Linked DNA regions of Drosophila melanogaster. The gene in region 1 interacts genetically with each later gene. Each region holds a gene or a part of one and is shown in the gene's direction. Other genes may lie near its edges. The genes, in order: up, Act88F and Tm2.

Evidence for each region.
Region 2: of up (region 1) and Act88F, changing one suppresses a phenotype caused by changing the other (phenotypic suppression), as found in Drosophila melanogaster (one study listed by BioGRID).
Region 3: of up (region 1) and Tm2, changing one suppresses a phenotype caused by changing the other (phenotypic suppression), as found in Drosophila melanogaster (one study listed by BioGRID).

What each region holds. Positions count from the first base shown.
Region 1 is NC_004354.4:13,600,629-13,604,388, reverse strand, and holds the start of up (upheld), read left to right. Parts: upstream 1-1,810; 5' UTR 1,811-1,971; intron 1,972-2,023; exon of another isoform or gene 2,024-2,160; intron 2,161-2,734; exon of another isoform or gene 2,735-3,021; intron 3,022-3,760. UniProt on the Drosophila melanogaster protein: Troponin T is the tropomyosin-binding subunit of troponin, the thin filament regulatory complex which confers calcium-sensitivity to striated muscle actomyosin ATPase activity.
Region 2 is NT_033777.3:15,438,146-15,441,905, forward strand, and holds the start of Act88F (actin 88F), read left to right. Parts: upstream 1-1,823; 5' UTR 1,824-1,901; intron 1,902-2,454; 5' UTR 2,455-2,470; coding exon 2,471-3,395; intron 3,396-3,456; coding exon 3,457-3,662; 3' UTR 3,663-3,760.
Region 3 is NT_033777.3:15,308,212-15,311,971, forward strand, and holds the start of Tm2 (tropomyosin 2), read left to right. Parts: upstream 1-2,033; 5' UTR 2,034-2,088; intron 2,089-2,465; exon of another isoform or gene 2,466-2,862; intron 2,863-3,760. UniProt on the Drosophila melanogaster protein: Tropomyosin, in association with the troponin complex, plays a central role in the calcium dependent regulation of muscle contraction. May also regulate motor systems required to maintain nuclear integrity and apico-basal polarity during embryogenesis.

The sequences.
Region 1 (3,760 bases):
CTGGACAGAACACGCCCGTACCATTTCATGCACTAAATCCCAGATAACTCGAACTGCCCACCTGTGTCCCATTGCGATTCTGTAGTTTTGTGGTTTTTGGCAAGCCATGCATAATACCTAGACCCATACATATCACATACACATACATATCTAATTATCTATGCATACATATCTATCTATCTGCGTATCTGGTGTGTGCATTTTGCATTTCGCAGAGGTGCAGATACAAAAATGTTCTAAATTTAAGATACTTGGTAACCAAAAACGAAATCAAAACAAATGCCGAAACTTTGCGACTATATAGTAATTTTACTATTGGAGAATATTGTAATATATATAATTTTAAAATAATATTCATCGCATGTTTTTAATTTACACAGAAGTCTATTTATTTGAACAACTTGTTTATGCAAGGAATTAAGAGAAGTCTTAAATTAATTTTTCTATAATCATATATAATGTAATGTAATCATAATATAATGTAATGTAATCATATATAATGTAATCATGTATGTATAAAAATTTTTACCCAGATTTTGAGGAACTTTGAGATAGCCCAAATATTTTTTTTTGCAGTATTAATAATTTAAGAAGATACAAGTGCAAGCGAAAAACTAAAAATTTTTTTTTTTTTTTATATTCTTCTAGAATTTATATCTAATTTTATGAAAAATTTGGCAAAAAAAAAAACAACGGAAATCGATGTTGATGAAAGTACATTTTTAAAATATTGTAAGTTTTTGCTTTATTTTAATTTTATTAATACTAGAATACAGAAACAAAATTAAATACAGAACAAAATATGTTTCACTACCCTTACTTAATACAAATATTTCTTATGTGTTATGATGTTTATTAAACGATATGAAAAAATTAATTTTTTTGGCAAAATTTACATATAGGAAAAAGAGATTTTGTCAAATTCTTCAAATTGATTTTGTATGCTTCGAAAAAATAACCCAATAAAGAATGAATTAAATTCGATAGCTTAAAGTGCTGCAAGGCGCGTAAGTGTATCTGAAACTATTTGCCAAAAGTATCTGTTAGAAAGTAAAATAAAAAAAATAGCATAGAAAAAGGAGAGAAATAAAAAAAGAAAATCGGAACAATGACGAATAGATTCAAGTGTTAGACAAATGGCAATGCGATGGGGCCACCTAAGGCCGTTCGACGTCAGCAGTTCGATCGCGATATAGATATAGGTAAATAAATATATATATATATATATATATATATAGGGGGTGATCGGTGATCGCGGCGGACTGGGTTGGAGATTTTGTAGGGCGTGCACTCTGGGGTTCAAATGCTGCAACGATCCGCTGAGGAATCCAAACTATATGTGCTATATATCGGCACGAACATCTGTACGTATATATTATAGAGCAATATATGCAGGCCGACTTTTTAATGGCTGTGAAATTTATGCTCTACGATATTTGATTCCAAAAACAAATGTGTAAAATGCCGCCAACGCACCGAACGTCCGTATGCGCTATATACTTATTGTATGATCTAGTTATGTGCGTGCGCCATTATGGTCTAATGTATAGTATATACTAATATCGTATGCCTCATCTCGCTCTGGCCAAAATGGAAAATTGGAAAACTCGACGGCGGCTGTGTGCGTGTACAAGTTTATGTTTCAGCTGCAGCCCACCTGAAAAATTCACCCAAAACACATCGAACACAGCCAACACAGGCAGGCGCACCCACCACCACCCACTTGTTGCCACATCGGCCAGCGATATGTGGCATATAGCGCTGGCCTGCTCGCACACATGGCCAGCTATTGGCTATATAGAAAGGCGATCGGTGTGTGCGTGGAAATGGCTTTTCCGCGAACGCGACGAAAAATTCTTTAACATAACGTGTAGCAGCGCTTTTCATCGTCAGTTTGGTTAGTCGAACCGCAGCATTCGCTCCTACGACGTCAGCTGCTCGGACTTCAATTCAATTTGTTTTTCTCCCTAAGTAAGTTTTTTTTTTTCTGTTTCTGCTCTACTGCTGCTTCACATCTCCTTCAAATGCTGCATCACCAAAAAAATAAAAAGAAAATATAAAATAAACTTGTGTGCCTAAAAACGAAAAGAAAGTTATCGAAAACGAGAAAACCGAATCCTTTGCGAATAAACCACGAACCACGAACATCAACAAAAGAAAGTTACGAATTGGAAAATCCTAGTGTTATATAACATTTTATTTTTTTTTTTGAAATTTTTTTAAAGTGCAATCTACGAACAAATAGTGCGAATAAATGACTTGAAAGCCACCAAAAAAACGAACTCTGAAGCCAACTTTTTCAAAAAATTTTTTTTTTTTAAACTTTTTTTTTTTATTATGGCTAAAGGCTAAAAATAATTTGAAAAAATTCGCCCAGGCATTGGCGGCGCCAAAAACAATATTCAACGGCAACTACAACAACAGGATTAGCCGCAGCAGCAACAACAACAACAAAATCAAAAGCAACAACAATGCCAGACAGGAATCTATACATATAAATATACATATACATATATGTATATCTTTTTGCTTTCTGAAAGTGTTATATGATCTGAGAGGAAAAGTTCTCAAATTTTTTTCGACGAATTTTAAAAATAAATTCGATTCGTATGTGTGCGCGAGCGAGTGTGTTTTTACCTTGGCAAAATGTCCAAGATACACACACACACACACACAGAGAAACACACACACACAGATACGTAGAGTGAAAACTTTTTTCAATAGCTTTCCGCGCAGGCGCCGATCAGATATGTTAAAGATATAGTAGGCGAAAACGAGACGGAACTATAGCCACCCACACAAGATCGATGGCGAATAGAGATCTGGAGATTTTTGGAGGATATATATAGGACTATAAATGGAAACAGGGCACAGATAGATTGAATTAAAGAAAGGGAAATTTGTAGAGTAAATTCGATAAGGATATAATGACAGGATATAAAAACAGCATATGACAGTTTTATGTTGCTAGGCAGGAAGTAGCTAACACTTACTCAAACTTTGAACTTGAAAAGACAAAAAGTAAGATTCAAAACCATGTTTTTGAAACTAACATGTATGATCAGTAACATTTTTGTATATGTAAGTGTGAAAAGACGATAGACGTATATTTCTGATAGTCTGTCGGATGATATTTAGATCATTACCAGTTTCAATTGAAAAGTTTGTTCAATTTTTCCAGAACTTTTCTCAATACATTTCACATCATTTCCAAGCACTTGCCCCAAAACTGACCCAGTTTATCTAAGGCTAAAAATACAAGCTCAGCAATTGCACTTCCACGCAAAAGTGCAAAGATTATAGAAATAGAATATTCATAATCATAGAAATTTCAAATAGCATATTAAATATATAAATTCGTGGCATAATAACTGGCATAGATATATACAGGCGATCTATGAATGGCATTTGATTTGATTTTCTTTTCATTACACACAAGTACGCCCAAATATATATCAATACATATACATATATAAATTGAAAAGCTTCTTTAGATTTTCCGATTTAGTGCCAAGGTAAAAAAAAAAACGAAAATTTTCAAAAAAGGCTTTGTCCGAAGCTTTTTGATGTTTTCGGAAGCTTTCGGCTCTCGGGAAATTCAATACTGCCCCAAAGTCTATTTTTAATTGAGAAAAAATCGGAGGAAAATGAAAAAACACACATACATAGATTGGACTACGACTCTCTCCTTCGCACACACACAGTTATAGATTGTGGATATAGATAGCATGGGAAATTAAATAATTTTAGAGCAGAGCGT
Region 2 (3,760 bases), on another chromosome or scaffold:
CTCGTTTAAATGCTGTTAAGTGAAAGACCATTCGCTGTGCATTACAGCGCCATCTATGATTGGCTTTTACTTCAGCCGAAAAGTATGCTAAGACTTGCATGCTTTTAGTTTATGGTTCTTGTCTCGACTACGAAATATTCAAATAAATAAATCGTGGGAAATTCTTACGTACATCAATACAAATCCAATAGAAATTATTCCTGAAACCGTACAAATAGGTATACAAATATTTAACGATGTTTACATAATGTTATAGTAATTAAATTAATTAATTACTAATTTATCTTTCGATAGAAAGAGAACAAAAGTGTGCAGTAGAAGTGTAATTTTTAAAAAAACACTTAAATTTCTAAAATATTTTTCACAATTATATCAATTTGCCGAAATAAAAGTATAATTCAGAAATATCTAGAATGCACAATAGGCAAATTTAGTTAAGATATGAATTTTTAAATAAATGGTGAGCCCAATCAATTCAGTGGTTGAATGACTTTTCATAAATTAAAAAATAAAGATAAGAATGGTGAACAATTCTGTTCGCAGCCACTAACCTCTTGCTCAATACACGATGTCAATCAAGGCAATTACCAAATAAAACGCTTTGGGAATGCCACCAATTCACTTCCGAGCAATCAGATCCTATCTTTAGACCAACCGCATTCGATTATTCATGTGGGCAAGCAATAAAAACGTAAATAGAAAGAAGTAAAAAATAATTAAATCTACATAAAAGGATAAATACAGTTCGATTGAGAAAATACATTTTCGCTCGGTCTGGCTGGCAATGGTTGGTTAATTGCACTGATAAATGGTCGGCACGGTGATTTCGCATCTTCGGGATTGCATCGGCGCCGCAATGCAAAGTGCAGCAGCATTCTGTAGAATGCGATTGCAAATGTGGATGCAGCTTCCTCGAGCACCGCGCGCGGAGATCTCGATCAACCTTGATGTTGATTTATAGGTGCCGCTCTGCTTGGCGCGTCTATTTTAGATTCGCCTCGCTGCGTGCCCGTTGAAATGTCCCATTCTCCCAGTCCCTGCCGCGGATGCCAATTGTCTTGCGTCGGTCCTTCTAAGGTCCGTTTCTATTTTCCGAACTCTCAGCACCGAATGAGTCGTCCGCCGCAGCAGTCGCCCATTGGCAGCAGGATTGGGACAGAGATGGGGACGGAGATGGGGCTAATTGGCCACTCGAGAGTGCTGATTGCCGTTTAGATGGCCCATGCTCCGACTATCACGCACCTCTGCTAATCACTCGGCTATGGCGTTCTCTTATCTTTCGAGAGCTTTCTCTCTCCTGGCACTCCCTACAAATAATGAATAGGGTCCTAAGATTGATAGCTTACTTCTATCATATATTGTCAATTAATTAAATATTTCTAGGATTAAATATGAACTGAATTGAAGATAAAGTTTATCTTCTACTACATAGTTATTTAAGCTGTTATATGTTATGAGACCCTTTTCTAGGATTTGTACCTACTAACAATGTGAAAAAAATATAAAATGTCATATTTTCGTAGTTTGGAAATTCCCTCGTTTATTGAATTTATTGGTAATCTTAATAAATGATTCTATGCTTTATTAAGTATTTAATTGTGTGGCTTCCTTTTTTTGTGAAGCGCATTAATGAGTCGTCTTCGTGCAATGAGGCATCCAAACTTCTGACATGCTCGGCCAGAAGTCTGAAAACTGCTTATATGGATCGATTGTTCCGCAGCACTTTCGCTCAATCTTTTTCTCAGTGCCGCACTGGCATCCAACTCAAATCGCTTCGAGGGAGAGCCGAGATATAAAGGCAGGACAGACCGATCGGCGTGCCATTTGTTGTTGAATCTAGTTGTCAACAGGAATCGAACGTGCGACTCTATCCAATTTTTCTCCTTTCGTTGACCTAAAAGGTGTGTGAGTGCGACCTCAATGTCGAAGGATCCAAGGATTATTACAGAAAAAGCCAAGAGGACTAAGGATATTAAAACTCTTTTTAATAAGTTCGGATTGTTTGATGGATTTTTCTACAAGTCACTAATCGGTCTTCGAAAGTTCAATATCTAAATATAAAGTGAAGAGTAATTGCAACGAAACGTATTTTCAATTAATTTGATACGTTTAAATTAAGTTCTATGAACTATTCTTTTCCGATATTTATAGAGCACTGATTTAGTTTCAAGTGAATAACCATATTAGCATGAGTCAAAAGGAAATGGAATATACCAATTTTGGCAATTTTTCATGGTTTTATTTACTGAAATGTGCTCAAATGGACAATAGAGTTTCACTTCACTTCTTCAATATCTTAAAAAGTTAAATATTTTCTTGAGACACAAATTAGTTTTCTATGTTGTCATTAAAGTAGTAGAATTTAAAGAATTGAGATGTAGGTGGGAGCTATAAAACTTTACATATATAATCGACAGATCGAGCTAACCGAGTGCACTTCCATCTCCCTTCCAGATAAACAACTGCCAAGATGTGTGACGATGATGCGGGTGCATTAGTTATCGACAACGGATCGGGCATGTGCAAAGCCGGCTTCGCCGGTGATGACGCTCCCCGTGCTGTCTTCCCCTCAATTGTGGGTCGTCCCCGACACCAGGGTGTGATGGTGGGTATGGGTCAGAAGGACTCGTACGTGGGCGACGAGGCGCAAAGCAAGCGCGGTATCCTGACGCTGAAGTACCCCATCGAGCACGGCATCATCACGAACTGGGACGACATGGAGAAGATCTGGCATCACACCTTCTACAACGAGCTGCGCGTGGCCCCCGAGGAGCATCCAGTATTATTGACCGAGGCTCCACTGAACCCCAAGGCCAATCGCGAGAAGATGACCCAGATCATGTTCGAGACCTTCAACTCGCCGGCCATGTACGTGGCCATCCAGGCCGTGCTCTCCCTGTACGCCTCCGGTCGTACCACCGGTATTGTGCTGGACTCCGGCGATGGTGTCTCCCACACCGTGCCCATCTATGAGGGCTTCGCCCTGCCCCACGCCATTCTGCGTCTGGATCTGGCTGGTCGCGATCTGACCGATTACCTGATGAAGATCCTGACGGAGCGCGGCTACAGCTTCACCACCACCGCCGAGCGTGAGATCGTGCGCGACATCAAGGAGAAGCTGTGCTACGTGGCTCTGGACTTCGAGCAGGAGATGGCCACCGCTGCCGCCTCCACCTCGCTGGAGAAGTCGTACGAGTTGCCTGACGGCCAGGTGATCACCATTGGCAACGAGCGCTTCCGCTGCCCCGAGGCTCTGTTCCAGCCCTCGTTCCTGGGCATGGAGTCGTGCGGCATCCACGAGACCGTCTACAACTCGATCATGAAGTGCGACGTGGACATCCGCAAGGATCTGTATGCCAACTCTGTGCTGTCCGGCGGTACCACCATGTACCCTGGTAAGACAAATCATTCGCTTCAGCAGTTGCACTTGTGCTTAATCCTTTGGTGCACTTTCAGGTATTGCCGATCGTATGCAGAAGGAGATCACTGCCCTGGCCCCATCGACCATCAAGATCAAGATCATTGCGCCACCCGAGAGGAAGTACTCCGTCTGGATCGGTGGCTCCATCCTGGCCTCGCTGTCCACCTTCCAGCAGATGTGGATCTCGAAGCAGGAGTACGACGAGTCCGGCCCCGGAATCGTTCACCGCAAATGCTTTTAAGTCTTTCGCCCGCCGCGAAAGCTCTTCAAAGGCAGCAACCAGCAGCGACCAACAAGCACCCATCGAGCTACCCAACAACCTCGGCTCGGACAGTGATA
Region 3 (3,760 bases), on another chromosome or scaffold:
AACACTTCTTCGCCTAAGCATTCCCAAAAAAAAAACAACTTTCTTACATAAGAGCAAGAGTTTTACAATAAAGTAAAAAATACATTTTTAGCAATTACTATTGAAATTTATATGGAGCCTAAAGTTAAAACGAGTTGTGTAACGAAAAGAAACGCTGCCATTTTCCTTGAAACTAAAATTCCAGCTCGAAAAAGTATGTGTAATATTTTGAATACAAAACCCCAGAAAGCCCACCACTCAATATCGTTAATCAGCATCTTCAAATAAAAAACTCAGTTACGCTTAAGCCAGAGTCAATTTTTCTCAACTTTCTGTTGCTTGTGTGTTTTTATGGCAGTTCGCGAAGTGTATCTACAAAATTTCTATGGCCTTTGTATATGTTTAAACAACAAGAATAGGAGATATATTATTAGAATATATAAACGAAGACATATAAATTAAATTTACACATTTGTCATAGCTTTTGTAATTCTATGAAGCGTGCAAAACAAATATAACAATGTATGTATTTTTCTTTTTCAACTCAATATTTTTACGATCAATAAACTGAAATCATTCTTTTGCATATAAAAAATTTCATGGATTTTTTATTTAAACGGTGGGTTGCATTAGTTAAATAATAAAAATATGCACTGATCATGAATCGAATATAAAGGACATAAAGTGTCCTGTTGGTTTCAATCTGCCGGAATATTGTGTATCCTTATTAAAAGTTAATATTGAAATCAAAATCAAATCATGCTTATATCCCAAAACTTATAGGATGTTTTTATTTGTGTTGGAATAACCATATTTGTCACATGTGTGATATTTTAACTCAACATTAAATATTCTTTGGAGCTACATATATAAAAAAAGTTTAAAATAAGCTTAAAGAAGAAGGGTTTTGAAAAATCGAATTTGAAAACTGAATACGTTTGCTCGCCAATTAGTTGTTTTTGAACAGTTTTGAAAATATGAAGTTTCAAACATTTTCCTAAATCAAGAAGAGCTATAAATCAACTAAAATTTGAAGTTATAAAAGTCTATAAATAAAGTGCACAATATTATTGACTTATGTAGGTTTGGCTTTTAAGTAAAATTTATTGCTGAACGAGAATAAAAAGATCGGGAGTACATATAAGTGTAATCCAGAGACTATGAGACATTTGGTGGAATCTTCTTGATATATAATAGTATTAAAGAAGATGTTACGTCACAGAAATATTGAAAGAAGAAGAAAATTGAACTGGATTTTGAGATGAATTGCTAAATGGATTTAGCGAGGTCGGACATATAAATAAAACCCACCATATATATTTATCTTTTAAATATACCTATATAAAAATATACATATATCTATAGAATTTCTTAGTTTAGAGTTTTGATAACAATTTTTCCATATCGTTACTTAATTGGTTATTAAAATAAATAAATTATAGATTTTATTCTTCAGTTATATAGTAAGTTAAGTGGTTTTGTTTTAGCAAAAAATCGAACGGGGACAATTAACACACAAGAAAATCGGATCAATTGCCTTGCATTCGAGACTTTCGAAAGCAAAAGAACGGCAGGAAAACGCTGGCCGATCAAAATTCCAAATATTTCTCAATATTTTTTTACCGAGCGAAAATAGATTTTCATCTTGTTGGACTTTTGCTCTTGCTGCTTGTGGCTATTTTTGGCCGTGTATCTGACGGATACACGCACACACACAGACAGCGAGAGTGCTGTGAGTAAAATATAAATTGAATTTAGATTTAAGAAGCAGAAAGAAAAGCGCATAAATTTCACGAGAATGCAGCCCAAAAGAGAGAGCATCGTATGAAGCAGCTTTTGGGGGAAATTTCGAGGGAAATTTTCGAGATCGCCGAGCAAAGTTGCGAAAGCGCCATTCCACATATACATTTATTAATGGGAAATTTTTGAGGCGAGAAATTATTCAATACCGCGTTGGTGTGTGCCCTCAGTGTGTGTGAGTTTTTCCGATTTTCCGAGTGGCAGTGTGCGTGTGCGTTGGATCTTGGGGTCGCTTTCTGGGCTAAGCAACTTGGTCAGCATCAGTGTTCTCGGGGTTTCGACAGCGTATAGTGTGTTTGAAACGCTAAGGTTGGTCACGCCAGGATTTTCACCCGACAAGAATTAACTCAAAATAAATATAATTAAATCGCTCGCCTTTGCTGCTAACCAAATTGGTATTTTCAACTGGATTTCGAGTGGATAACAAAATTGTGATAAGTGCATGGCATTCAAAATTATAAATTTTGAATTTTCCCCAAACGGGAAAAAAAAGGAAAACCTTGTTAAACTTAAATAAAATGTGCATATGTATATGTGTCAATTAGCCTGGATATAAAGTTCTACAAAAAGTTAAATGAGTGATCCAAATGTAATGGAAGTGAAAATTGCTATAACTAAAAAAATGAATATCTCTAAAAAACTTAAAATGAACGATCTAAACTACTTGAAAATGGAGATCTTATGATCATTTTTCGGATATTTTCAAAATTCGCTTATAAGGAATTTTGTAACTAAATCTGACGGCACCAATACCATCCAATAAATATCTGTGTGTGTGTGAGAGAATTTTTTTTTGCACACACACACATGAGCTTCATTCGGAAAGCTCTACACGAATGGGACACATATACATATGCACCTTACACACTTATGGCACGCACAATTTTCACACACACAATCACACTCGACCGATAAAGTTTTCCTCGAAGAAAATTCTTTAAAATTAACTGCAGACAGACACCTGCCTGTCACACACACACAGACATACGCATTTATTTTTAACTCTGCCTGAAATTTATACGAAAAAGCTTTTCCGTCTAGCTTTCTGTGATCTCAGAAAACGAAGGCAGTCGAGAACTATAGGTATTTATCCTTGAGATTGTTTTCGAGAGAGATATTTTGGAAAATATTAGAGACGTAGACGATTCCCAGATGCGGATACATATGGTATCTATCTGGGAATATATATATTCAAGGCATAGCCACCCACACAGAATTGTAGATTTCAGAGCGAATATTTCTAGCCATTCGTGAATGCGTCCGAAGGCCGCAAAATTTGCCATCTTTAAGATACATATTCGAACTGATTGAAAGCCCAAGTACCTTTGGCAATCACCAAAAATTTTAATGATGTGAAAACTAAGTAGCTATTTAACATATTATAAGTTATTTAAAGTCTTTAGAAAGAAATCCTTTTTACCTCATAAATCACATATTAAACATTGCTTATGTTTTTTTGGGTACAAAACACACATGAGTATCGCAAGACCTCCAAAAGATCAGCAACTACAACATAAATGACTTTGCCCCACTTTGGGTGGTAGCAACATAGATACACGAATTCGAATACGAATACGCCCACACACCAAATGACCCCAAAGAATTGAATACTTTTCAAATTGCAATCGGTGGCGAGCTATGTACATATATATGTGGGGTATTTCGAAATAATAGGGGGAAACTCTAGAATTACATTTAGCACACAATGTCCAAAAAAGCATTTCTCCTATGCGTGTGTGTGCGAGTGGACTGGATATTTTTTTCTCACATGCAAAAGCATATAAAGTTTATTTTTAACCCCACCGAATCGTGCAGCAAATAAACATATAAACATATAGCTCACCGACGGATCCGGATTCGGATTTTGAGTGGGCGTTTTGAAAATGGAAAATGAAAATTACGTGAGATCTTTTGAGAATGCTCGGCGTAGCCGCCAAACAAAATGTGTTTACATTTAATTCTCAAATTTATTGCACGAACA